3 linked regions of the Schizosaccharomyces pombe genome follow. The gene in region 1 interacts genetically with each later gene. Each region holds a gene or a part of one and is shown in the gene's direction. Other genes may lie near its edges.

The links. A genetic interaction does not mean that the proteins touch.
Region 2: mutations in shf1 (region 1) and tif452 together harm fitness less than expected from each alone (positive genetic interaction), as found in Schizosaccharomyces pombe (one large-scale study listed by BioGRID).
Region 3: mutations in shf1 (region 1) and rdl2 together harm fitness less than expected from each alone (positive genetic interaction), as found in Schizosaccharomyces pombe (one large-scale study listed by BioGRID).

The regions. Positions count from the first base shown.
Region 1 is NC_003424.3:4,807,481-4,813,322, reverse strand, and holds shf1 (histone H2B-K119 ubiquitin ligase complex (HULC) subunit Shf1), read left to right. Parts: upstream 1-1,914; 5' UTR 1,915-2,055; coding exon 2,056-2,553; 3' UTR 2,554-2,837; downstream 2,838-5,842. Other genes in the region: formin Fus1, read left to right, coding at 1-98; CCR4-Not complex subunit Caf16, read right to left, coding at 258-856, 902-1,021, 1,101-1,224; phosphoinositide phospholipase C Plc1, read right to left, coding at 2,838-5,537. UniProt on the Schizosaccharomyces pombe protein: Component of the histone H2B ubiquitin ligase complex (HULC) which plays a role in transcription regulation by catalyzing the monoubiquitination of histone H2B to form H2BK123ub1.
Region 2 is NC_003423.3:1,132,407-1,136,184, forward strand, and holds tif452 (translation initiation factor eIF4E, 4F complex E subunit isoform 2, stress response factor), read left to right. Parts: upstream 1-1,987; 5' UTR 1,988-2,092; coding exon 2,093-2,569; exon of another isoform or gene 2,570-2,659; coding exon 2,660-2,799; exon of another isoform or gene 2,800-2,856; coding exon 2,857-2,971; 3' UTR 2,972-3,213; downstream 3,214-3,778. Other genes in the region: met7 (putative folylpolyglutamate synthase), read left to right, coding at 1-25, 335-1,636. UniProt on the Schizosaccharomyces pombe protein: Recognizes and binds the 7-methylguanosine-containing mRNA cap during an early step in the initiation of protein synthesis and facilitates ribosome binding by inducing the unwinding of the mRNAs secondary structures.
Region 3 is NC_003424.3:3,838,095-3,841,034, reverse strand, and holds rdl2 (thiosulfate sulfurtransferase Rdl2), read left to right. Parts: upstream 1-1,564; 5' UTR 1,565-1,654; coding exon 1,655-1,753; exon of another isoform or gene 1,754-1,877; coding exon 1,878-1,929; exon of another isoform or gene 1,930-1,978; coding exon 1,979-2,198; exon of another isoform or gene 2,199-2,264; coding exon 2,265-2,322; 3' UTR 2,323-2,375; downstream 2,376-2,940.

The DNA.
Region 1 (5,842 bases):
AAACTCTAGAAGGCTCAAATAAAAAGAGACAAACAGTCGTCCTTAAAGCTGAATGCATGCTTAAGCAGCTGGAGAATAACAATGAACTTAAGAGATAATGATGTTTGAAATGTTAATGACTTTTAATGACAATTAAATGACTTAAACAAATTATAATGAAATTATAATTAATAAAAGGTATAATTATTAATTCTAGTAAGACTGTAATGCTTGTTAAAGATAGAATTAAGCATCTAAAGGATAACTTTTCTAGTAATCTATTTTGCTCGGGAAATCTTAAAGTAATCAGTAAATACATCAGTTCCAACTTTTAATGATTCTTGAACGTCGTCCCAGGTACTACGCTTTTCCTCTTCTCGAGTTCCCCTATTTTTTTTGTCTTCTTTGAGCCATTCCAAACATGTCTCTAGAAGGGCGCTATTTCCCGTAGAGGACCTTGTCATCAGAGCACCAAACTTGGATATTGGTCCATAATCCACGATACGCCCAAGACTGAGATGGACCAAGTGAGTTGGCCACTCAGCTAAACCATCAAATATATGTGTTGCATAAACAATAGTAGCATTCCTTACTTCCGTTTCCTCTTGCAAAAAATTTAACAAATCTGCCCGGGCAAGAACATCCAAATCTACAGTTACTTCATCAAGTAAAAGTACTTCAAATGGACGCAGAAGTCCCATACATAGTTGAACACGTCGTCTTTCACCATCGGACACTGCATGCATTCGCCAACGAAGATCTATATCAAGAATTGAAATCAAGAAATCCCTACGTTCGGCAAATTTATCTCCTCCAACAGAAGCAATTAATCGTGCAACACTCATATCCCTATGTATAACAGGGTTGTTAACCCATTCTACAAACGCACACATCAGTAAAATTTGATGTTAAAAGAACTTACCAGTTCCTAAATAAACAAATGCAGAACTAGACTCACGAAAAGGATCTTTACCACCCACCGATATATGTCCTGCTTTCGCAAGCGATTTTCCAGATAAAAGTTTAAGTAAAGTTGATTTTCCTGTTTAACAAAATTCCAAGAGGACATCAGTTAGCATTTAAATATTCTTCATCAATTTCCATAACACCGCGAAACTTACCAGCTCCATTGGCTCCAACAAGTAAAGTCCTTGATCCTTTAGGAAGATCTAAAGTTACGTGATCAAGACTTAAAGGCTGCTTTGGAGAAAACGTGTAAGAGAGGTTTGAAACAGTTACTTCCATTTTGAAATAGAATGTTTTAACAGTAGTAAAATATAATTATCTAAGAACTTAGTTTTACAATATATAAAGGATCCAAAAAAAGGCGCAAATTAAATAACACTCAAACTTTGTGGGTTAGCTGGATTGTGTTTAGTACATCTGTGTATCAAGTAAAGTGTGGAGGGAATGCAGTAAAGTTGTTATAAGCAAGACCTCGTACTAATAAATTAGCTTTCCAAGTCTTTGTAAAGAACCTTTTTTAACTATTAAGTAATGCTGCCCATATTTGGAGATGCTATTAAGACCTTGAACACACATCCTGCGGAGTCTTGGAAAGAAAAATGATTAACATCGATGGAACAATTGGCAAACAATATATATAGGAGATAGAAGCAGATAACATTTGTAATCAACTACAATTTATGCTACATATTATTTGGCTTAAAACTAAGTAATAATACTTTCCTAAGGTCACCCCATTTCGTTTAAGACAACAGACAAACCTAACATTCGCATGGAATTTTTTAACAGCAGGCGGACATTTCTCAAATAAAAAAATATAAATATAATATTATTTCATTCCTGCTAAACGATTTTAGCTTTTCAACGTAGTATTGCCCATATCATTAGACTTAATATATTAAACAACAAACAAACATCGATATGGGCGAAGGGCTTTATATAACGCGGTACGTAAAATAGTCTTACCTCAAACCGTTTTCTCACACCGTGATTTTAATTGAATTAAGTATTACTATTTTTCGGTTCTTTAACCAATTGTTTTAATTAGATAGTGTACATTTTTCGTGAAAAAAAAGAACCATTAATATCAGCACTTAATTATTCACTTTAATGAGCAGCAGAAGAAATGACTACCACTATGATGGAAACGACCACCAGTATCGTAGTCCTTTGAAATCAAACGTTGATCAAAACAGTTTTTATGAATCTAGTTATAGGAGCCGACAATCCTACCATCAAAGAACAAAAACACCCAGATCTAGTTATGATTCACCCTCTTCATCTACAAATTCCAAGGAACACAATTCTCCCTATCATTATAGAGTCCCTAGCAATAATTCAACAAGAGCGTCTTTTGGGGCAGCTTCTACGGATACGAATGTAGAATTGCCGAAGATTAATCTTCCAGACTCGAGTTTGTCAAGTAAACTTCAAAGCTGCAAGTCTGCGTGCGAGAATTCATCCCAGAGTTTATTGAATGTCGAACAACAATACGCTCAACAAGTACATTTTTGGGAAAAAATTAGAACGGATATATACCGAGAAGGTCTACGTAGTGATGCAGCTGTAAAAAGCTTAAACGATTTTGTAAATAATGTCAGCTTCTAAATAAATTATTGCAATCATCGTCTGCGTACAAATCATTGAGCTTCCGCTTTGTGGATATTATTATGACTTTTTATTGAAAGTTTTATCCCAAACCCATATTTATAAACATGAATGTTTTTGTATAGCGTTTTTTTTTTTAAAAAAAAAAAATAAAAATAAAAAAACGCTTCATACACTCTAAACATTCTCAGACTACTTCGGTTCTCTCCCTTTTAACGTATAATATGCATTTTAGATTTTCTGAAGTTTCATTACGGTGAAAGTGCTGTAATGGACACAGCGTTCTAAATGTCTTCTTTTTTAATTTTCAAAAACAAACTCGAAAATAACAAATTTTCGCCTTGCATATCCAATAAACGAATATGTCTATAGCCTTGTTGCAGTCTGTCAATCGGACAAGTAAAATTAGCAAATATAGAGTCATTTCCATTACTTCCTCGATGATGGACGAGAAATCGGATCATGGAATAAAAGTCATCACTAATTATACTCTCATAAACCATGGTTTCTCCCCAAAAAGGTCGAAATCCATTTTCGTGCACAACTTTGGAACACCAACGAAAAGGAGATTCTTCCATTGAATGAACTTGGATCTCAACATAAGGGCTGAGAGTTTCAGAATTAGAAAGTTCTCTAGCTCTTCTAAGTTGTTGCCCAGATATGACATCTATTGTTAATTTTATTTTACGAGGAAGTCCTTCTTCGCCAACTGTTGTACCAATTATTCGTTGACAAGGTGGCTTTAACAAGTACCCAGTCGGAGGATCAGCTATAAACAAAGCATCATTTATTTGAAGACCTGTATCATAAGTTTGCCAGTTTAGAGCAACCATTTGCACACCCAGGCGCCAATACACCTGAGGATTAAAATTTGTACTTCCTACTCTCAATGGGCCAGGGTATACACGACACAAATAGCGTAAATTATGTTTGCTAAGTCTTGGAACCATAGCTTTTCCATGCTTTTTTATAGTCCTTTCCGAAAATGAGAATATGTGGCTATACGTTTTTGATTCCGGTAAAGAAAAATTTCGAAATTTCAATGATCGGGCATAAGGTGCAAGCTGTTGCAATTCCTGCACAATGATATTTTTCATCCGTCTTTTACCTTTCCTTAACCCTGTTAATTCTGAATTTTCTAGCTCCGATGATTCGGTAGTATCAGTCGAAGAATCAGTTATCCCAACCTTCAGTATGTCTGTCGAAAATTGGTGCAATGGTGTTGCTGAACATTTGACTTTCAGCAAAATTTTGTTCAGTAAATCTTCGGGTGAAGGAAGAACTGATTCGTTAGCGGTAACGGGTTTCATCACCAAAGTATCCCCAAATGCTTGTTTCATGTAACTAACCATTTGACGTTGTTGGTCAGGGCAGCAATGAATTTCCAAAGAAATGAATAATGGATAAGGTGAAACGACGAAAGCATATTTTCGTATAGCATCAATAACATCATTAAATTTTATCATAGAAGTAAATGTATGTCCATGACAAACTACAGGACCATTCGGTCCATCCCAGCAATCGATTTCAATACACTTGCAGCCACGCTGTAGCGAACGGATATAACCTTCAATTGAACTTTCTCCACCAAACTGCTTACCTAGTAAATAAGTGTTATGCGACGAAGAAATTAAGTATTCATTCAGTGGTCGCGACATATCTTGTATCACAGGAACTACTGGAGAATTATGAGGAGAAAGTAGAAAGGAAGTAAATTCTATCAAACCCATTTTTGAATCATCATTTGAGCAAAAAGAGACATACAAAGTCCTAATTGAGTCACTATCCAAACGAGCCTTTTGAGAAGTTGATAGAAAGTGACGAAACTGTTCCAAAGACATCTTGTCAGAGCCAGATGTATATTCTTTAAAAATATCTACAATCTCGGATCTTGTTTTTAAAAGGCTTACAAAATGCTGAAATTCTTCAAAACTTAGCTTTCCAGAATGATCAGCATCTGCCTTTTGAAATGTTTCTTCTAAAAACTCCATTGATGCATTCAAATGTAGCATTTGGCACATGCGATGCACGTCTCCTAGATCCAACTGTGCACTTTGCTCCTTTTCTAACTTTTCCCAGGGATTTAAATTCTCTGAATAATCTATCATTTTTTCACCTTGATGGCAAACGAGATTAAGTCCAATAATAAATTCATTCAATCGATAAGTTTTTAGACCTTCTAAAGCCATAATCCATTGATTATGCGCATCTAAAGTTGGAGATATCATATGCATAGCCTTTAATTTATTATCAGCACAATATATAATTGTGAACCAGCGTTTCTCGTTCTCAGAAGAAATTTTGTACTGTTCTCTATAATTACGAGCATCGCGGCCCTGTCGAATTTCTTTAATGTCATCAACACAAAGCTTCTTATAAGCTTTACCAGTATTCTTGTCCAGCATAAGATATCCAGATATAGGGTCTAAAGAGACTTTACGTTGGCGCACCTTTTTCTTGGTTATACGAAGTAAAGAGCATCCGTTTTGAATAGATTCAGGGACTATAGTAGCTAATAGCTGTCGAGAATTAAAGTTTTGATTCACCGAGCTCAGAGTAGATAAGTTTTCGTTACTATCGCATGAGTAAGGGTTCATTGAAGTATTTGTTCTCGCAGAATTCATTCGACCTTGCAAGCGTAGCAAAAGATTTAACTTCAGAGAAAGCCAATTCAATCCTCCATGGAATTTATTTTCTGAAGCTGATGTCGATTTCGTACTCAGAAAAGAAGATAAAGAATTTGATCGTTTACGTAGAGTACTATGAGCATCGCGATCCCTTGATGATAGCATCTTAAAGAAATCCTGCTCCGATTTCTTCCTATTGCCAACATATGGGAGATCCAAAGCAGCATTATCTAAGGTTTTACTCCTCGTCTGAGCAACTGCGTTTTCTGAGCAATCGGGCAGGCAAAATGGACTTACTGCTCTGTTGGAGTCTCCTAAGTTGACCGATTCAGGCGACGTTACCATTTCACAATTCATTATGATATCTATTTAAGGATTTACACCGCCATTGGCTTTTTGATCATTATGTTGATATTTAAAAGTTCTTCGGTTTTTCGGTTTTCATTCAGCAACAATACGCCGTGTATGTGTCAATAAAGATAAGTGGATAGCACTCAAAATTGCATATGAGCATAGATTCAATCCACCACTTTAAATCAAGTAAGCCTGATATTATTATAGGGACAAAAATTAGTTGTTTTCGGAACTTTTACCTCTTATATCGTAGGAGCTTACATCCGAGACTTTTGTTAACGTTAGTGGCAAGCGCGCTTTGGTTTAAT
Region 2 (3,778 bases), on another chromosome or scaffold:
TTGGCTTAGATGCATTGGATATCAGGTAAGTTACTACTTATAATTAGGAATTACAAAAGAATAGCACTCAAATATTTTAAGCCGCTGCATATGATTAAACGAGATTGAAACAAGTATTTGTATGTCCTTTATAGTACTCGATTGTGATCCTTTCTTTAACTTCACCTTATTTTTAATAATAATAATCTCATTGAAAGGACAGCACATCATGTCTATAAAGGGAAATATCAATAGGAATTGTTGACTTGGCTGGTTTAGCCTGTATCTCTTTACGAAATCTTTTTGTTAATAGTTCTATACTGTCATGCAACTTTTACTAACTAATAAATCTCAGCCATCAGATTTGAACCGACTAAATGTCATCCATGTTGCTGGAACTAAAGGAAAGGGTTCTACATGTGCATTTACATCCTCAATATTACAGCAAATACAGAAGAGTGGAGAAAGGTCGATTCCAAAATGCATTGGTATGTACACTTCTCCTCACCTCCGATCTGTCTGTGAACGTATTCAATTAAATGGCAAACCTATCAGTCAAGAGTTGTTTACTAAATATTTTTTTGATGTATGGGAGCGCCTAGAGAATGCTGTCGGTAGTGATTCGGAAAAGCCAATGTATTTCCGATTCTTGACACTAATGGCATGGCACGTTTTCATTTCAGAGAATGTCGATGCCGCTATCATTGAAGTTGGGATTGGTGGTGAATACGATTCTACAAACTTAATTGAAAAACCATATGCCACAGCAGTTACAAGCTTAGGTCTTGACCACACGTCTTTGTTGGGGAACACAATAGCAGAAATTGCTTGGCAGAAAGCTGGAATCTACAAAGAATCAGCTATTGCCTTAACTTGCGAGCAAGCTCCCGAGGCTATGAATGTTTTAAAAAACCGTGCTGCTGAACGAAATACATCACTTAAGGTAGTCATACCTCCTGCTGAATTAACGCCGGATATGATTGGTCTTTCAGGAGTTCATCAGCTTGGAAATACATCCCTTGCAGTTTCTTTAGTCCAAGAATTCTATGAAAAGGCCGGGTGCCCTTTTGATAGAGATCCATATCAGGATCCAGCAATTTTGGACGGCCTCAAGTATGTAAAATGGCCTGGAAGATGCCAAATTGAGGAAATCAACAACATAAAATGGTGTTTTGATGGAGCCCACACCAAGGAAAGTTTGGAGGCCACTGGACTTTGGCTCGCATCCAAGAAGAATCTTTATGAGGATGCAGATGCCCGTATTCTTCTGTTTAACCAGCAAAGCAGGGATGATCCAATTGCTTTACTTAGGTCCTTCTTAAAAGGATTGGAAAGCTCGGGAACTGGGATTTCGTTTACGCATGTTATATTCTCAACCAATGTCACCTGGAAGGATGCAGGCTATAATCCAGAGCTGTTAAGCATTAATACCATTACTGATAATAAGCCCGTTTTGCATGTACAAGAGGATTTATGTAAATGGTGGAAAGAATCGAAGGGCACGACTAGTGAAGCAACAGTAGCCCCTACCATCCAAGAAGCTATTGAGACAGTGATGTCAATTAAGCAAAAATCCAGGAATACTTTTGTTTGTGTCACCGGAAGTCTGCATTTAACTGGTGGTGTTTTTGTAGTACTAGATCAAGCTGTTTTTTGATTGAAATGGAGAAAGGTTCTACATTTTGCAACATTGTTTTTGAGATTTAAATGATTCTTAGATATACAACATAGCTTTATGCATCTTTGTAATTACAAAATGATTTTTAACAATTTGACACGTAAGGGGAACAAATTTGATTTCACGAATTATAATAGTATGCAGATAAAAAGCTGTGTGAAATTTGATTATACTCGTGCATTTCCAATCAAACAAATAATTTACTGTAAAGCTTTAAGGCTGATTATTGACTTTTTATATATACTTAGCCAATATTTAAGGTATGAATGTACAATTATATTTTACAGGAACAGTGTGTTGAAAGTTGCTTTTGCTTGGATCTCGTAACCCAATTACGACCACCGCATCTTTTCAGCATCCAGCCTAGTTTACAAACTGCCTATTATAAAAACGTTTTAAGCTCTTTTAATATTTTTGTTTTTTTAAAAAAAGCAAATGGCAGATGCAGAAGACTCGCGTCACTCAAAAAATGAGGGTTTTCCCAACACTTCCTTAATCACAGAAAAACTAGATCTATTGGATTTATTTGGGTCACCAAAAGTTAAAACTGAAAGAGAGGGACGTCCAGCGCGCCTTCTTGAAGGTCTATCGGCTGTTAATGCTGAAACTGCATTTGTAAAAACACACCCCCTTCAGCATGAATGGACATTGTGGTTTTTGAAACCACCTACACAAGGTCTTGAATGGAGTGATCTTCTTAAAGAGATTATTTCCTTCAAGACAGTGGAAGAGTTTTGGGGCATCTTTAAGACGATCTCAAAAGCTTCGATGCTTCCCGCCAAATCGGACTACTCTTACTTTTTGAAAGGTATTCGTCCTGAATGGGAGGATCCTCAAAACATGAATGGTGGGAAATGGGCCTACCAAAGCAAGCACAAAGGTTCAAATCTCGACGAGTTGTGGCTGTATATGGTAAGTCATGGTCTGTTCATTTTAACTGCTGTGATATCGACTTTACAGAATGTTAATTTTTAAGTTGAAAGTATTAACGTATGGAAATAGGTGCTGGCAGCCATTGGAGAAACATTAGACCCTACTGGGAAAGAAGTTACTGGTGTAGTTTGCAATATGAGGAAAGGATTCTATAGAATCGCTGTATGGACACGAAATTGTAATGACAAAGATGTTTTGGAAAAAATCGGGTATGTGAAGTTTTAAGAGTAACGTGTTGGTAGTTGACTGGACTAACAAACATGTAGCCTGCGCTTTAAAGAAGTTTTAGGGATTTCTGATAAAGAGACTATAGAATATAGTGCTCATGAGGATTCATCAAAGGCTGGTAGTATGCGAGCAAAAACCCGTATGAGTCTTTAATGATATCAAGTTTCAAGTTTTTATTTTTACTTTCTAAGGCTTGGTAAATTATAGGGGTGTTCATTTACGAATGACAATATGTTATTGCAATCATTGCCCTCTTGTTTTTGAGACCTCTAAAATACCAAGCTTATTGAGATGAGATAGATGCCTCTTTACAGTTAGTGTATTCGTATGAATAGTTTAATTTGTTATATTTGTTGAGCATTTTAATAGGCTAATGGATATAATCTATATTTGACCCTTCTCTTACGTTATAAATATTAAAATTCTATCAAGAATGTAAATATGCTAGATCGCCAAATCTTCCTATTATTCATAACCGCCTGTATATTAAACATTTATCGCTAGCTTATTTCAAGCTGAATAATGTCTACTATGATTTTACTATTTCCGAGGATCTAATGTAATGTTGGAACTAACCTTTATCGCTAAGGATCCATGAATGTTTGAATCAAACTAAAATTTCGAAATAATAGGCGACCTTCATTTCTTCTTATCATTGTCGAAATCGGATAACATTAATTAAGAAGATAGCCCTTTTAATCGAATTAATGCAGCGCTTAATGAGTACTGGGAAAAGTGGGGAAATTTACTTGCAACTTCTGTATGCTTAGAATTAGATATCTGGTGAAGAAGTATCTACAATCAGACTTTTCAATGTACTGTACGGAATATTGTCGAGTATCAGTGCACCACTTCAATTCCAAATCTATCGCTTCGCTTATACTCAAAGTTTTTTAAACAAATAAAGCTCAGCACTAACTTCATCATTTGGTTAATCAGCAATTAGCAAAGATGAAATGA
Region 3 (2,940 bases), 970 kb from region 1:
TATGATATCCCCTCTTTATCAGTGATGTTTTCGGGTATCGCAATTATGAAGTAAGTCATTCTTCATAATATTTGATTTCGATGGAAAAAAAGCGCAAAAAAAAAAGAGGAAGAAAATATTAACTAAATCAAAACAGTACGTAATTGGTATTCACAGTTGGATTAAAAGTCTGCTTAAGGAAATTAGCTATTAGCACTAGTTAGCTATGATCAACCGCCGACTGTTGTATTCGGTACCGAGCGACAAGGTTGGTACAATAAGGGACTAAGTGAATGAATGAAATTAATGAAAGCGAATGAATAAGGTAAATATTAATTTAATGGGTGAATTGTAAATAAATTATATTGAGTATTCGAGTGAAACAGATGAACTGTATCGAATTAACCGTTCATATATTTGTCCATAAAAGATTGTAAACCAGAGAGGTATCTTAAACACTGAATCTTACTGACCTTCATTTTTACAAGTTTTTATTTTCCTTCATCCATTGCAATCATTCATTTCGGATGATTGAATTGGAAAACATTGCCAATATGATTATTTAGGTTCATTATTTTATATATTTATTTATTGGCATAAAATTTTTACTACTAGTTTTTCTGCCGCTAAAAGAAACAATAATTTATTCTAGATATAAATTTCTTTTTTTATTTTTTATATTTTAATGGACGCATGTGAATCACTTTTCCATTTGAAATTTCAATTTTCAATAATATGCTGCTACCTTAGAACTTGCAATATTAAAATTGATGCGAAATCTTAGTAAACGTAATATCATGTGCAATACAATCAAAAGTGATTTGAACTGTGACCTAATATCAAAGGTGGACTTACAACCTGTTTTCTAATTGTACTGGCAAATTTAAACATCATGCTTACGTTAAACCTAGCGTTTCTCCATTGCGAGAATATCAGCACTCATAAAAATTTGTGTACTGTGATTTTTTTCCTATTACATTAGCATTGAAGCATGCCATGACATTACAGTACAGTGCATTTCAGGCCCGACGAGAAAAAATAAATAAATAAACTTACGTATACATCTATATAAATCAGCGTCGTATGAATTCCTGTTTTCTCCTAATGATAAAACAAACAACTGTAGCTCAATTGAAAATTAGAGTGCTTGTTTCTGTCAGTGTATTTCCAACAAACATAATTTTATGAATAACAAATTATCCATAAAATGCTTTTTGGTAAATCCATATGCTACCTCCATATAGTAATATACACAATTAAAGATCCGCAATTTTAAAGAACTGTGCCAAAGACGTACGTACAGTTCTATTCTATGAACTTATATACTGAATATGTAATTGTTTAAAAGTGAAACATAGAAAATGCGGCAACTTCATTTTTCCCGATGGATGAATCGCTCTTTTCTTGAATAGTAACTTTAAAAACTACCGTTTTAAAAAAGAAAAATATTATTGAAAAATCTCGAAAATACAAAGATCCATTTCATTTATTGATTCCTCTGAACACAAGCCCCTATAACACTTCAAACCTGCCGATTTCGTAATAGCGATCGTTCATATAATCATACTACTCACCGATCACGCTTATACCACTACCGTCAACTGTGGGAATCTGAGATTTAACCTGCCTGCTGAAAGGGGCCATCTAGCTGTAATAAACCTTGTTTTCACCCATAATGTTTTCTAAAACTCTTTCCGTATCTCGCCTCCTGATGACCCGCTCTTTCTACAGTTCTACAGTAGTTAAGAATGTCAGCATCTTTGATTTCGAAAAGGTAAACCAACATAGGAATACGTTTGCTTTCATATGCGATGTTTTCTGGTTAAAGCTAAGTTTTACACTTCGCTACTCTACTCTCCAAGTATTTTGGAATTATTAACGGTACTAACTTGAAATAGGTTTATAACCTTAGTAAAAGACCAACTGGCGACAAATCCACCGTTTTAATTGGTAAGGACAATACAATAGTGAGTTAAAACTTATTCTGCTAACATGTCAGACGTTCGTGAGCCCGATGAATTTAAGCAAGGTGCAATCGAAACTTCTTATAATTTACCTGTTGGAAAAATCGAGGAAGCCATGAAACTTAGTGACGAGGAGTTTTCCAAGACTTATGGATTCAGCAAACCCGTTTTTGAGGACAACGTTGTAGTTTACTGTCGCTCTGGTAGAAGAAGTACGACCGCTTCTGACATTCTCACCAAACTCGGCTATAAAAAGTATGTTTGTATAGGTGAACAATTCCACTTAATTTCGAGAACAGTGTTCAAAAACTAACCTTTTAGTATTGGAAACTACACTGGCTCATGGCTTGAGTGGTCCGACAAAATTAAGTCTAAGTGAGGGTAGACTCGAACGCTTTCCAGCCTTCTCACCCATTACGTTACCTTTTAGTTTTATATGTAGTTTAAGTTTCTAGAGTTGAATGCATGCATCGTATGCTTGCTCACCATTTTTAGATGATAAGTAAGGTGTACTTAGAAAACAAAAACAATTTTACTGCAATGTAACAATAAGGTGAATTGAACTATGATAAGTTACTTACTCAAGCGATTTATTCCTTCGCATTTCTATTGTCAAAGACTTCGACGAAAGGGTAAAGCTGTAAATACATTGGAAGCTATTAATATGGGAAAATATATTTTGAGACAGTCATTGTAGTTAATTCCGGGTTTAGAAAGAACACCTCCAAATTCAATTAAACTAGGGAATACAGTTCAAGCACGTGTTAAAGATAACTCTAAGAAATTAGTTTTCGAACAACCAGGTGGAATTAAAATTGATGGGTTTTTGACATTTAAAGGCTTGAAGAATACTATTCATACCTTGCCGGTTTGCTCAAAACGCGAATAACATTTTTTTCTTTTGCACTGAATGTTACAATCTCAATTACAAGTATGATTAGAAAGGAGACCTTTGAACTGACTGTCCCCTAAATTTCTAATGTAGAATTTTTACTTT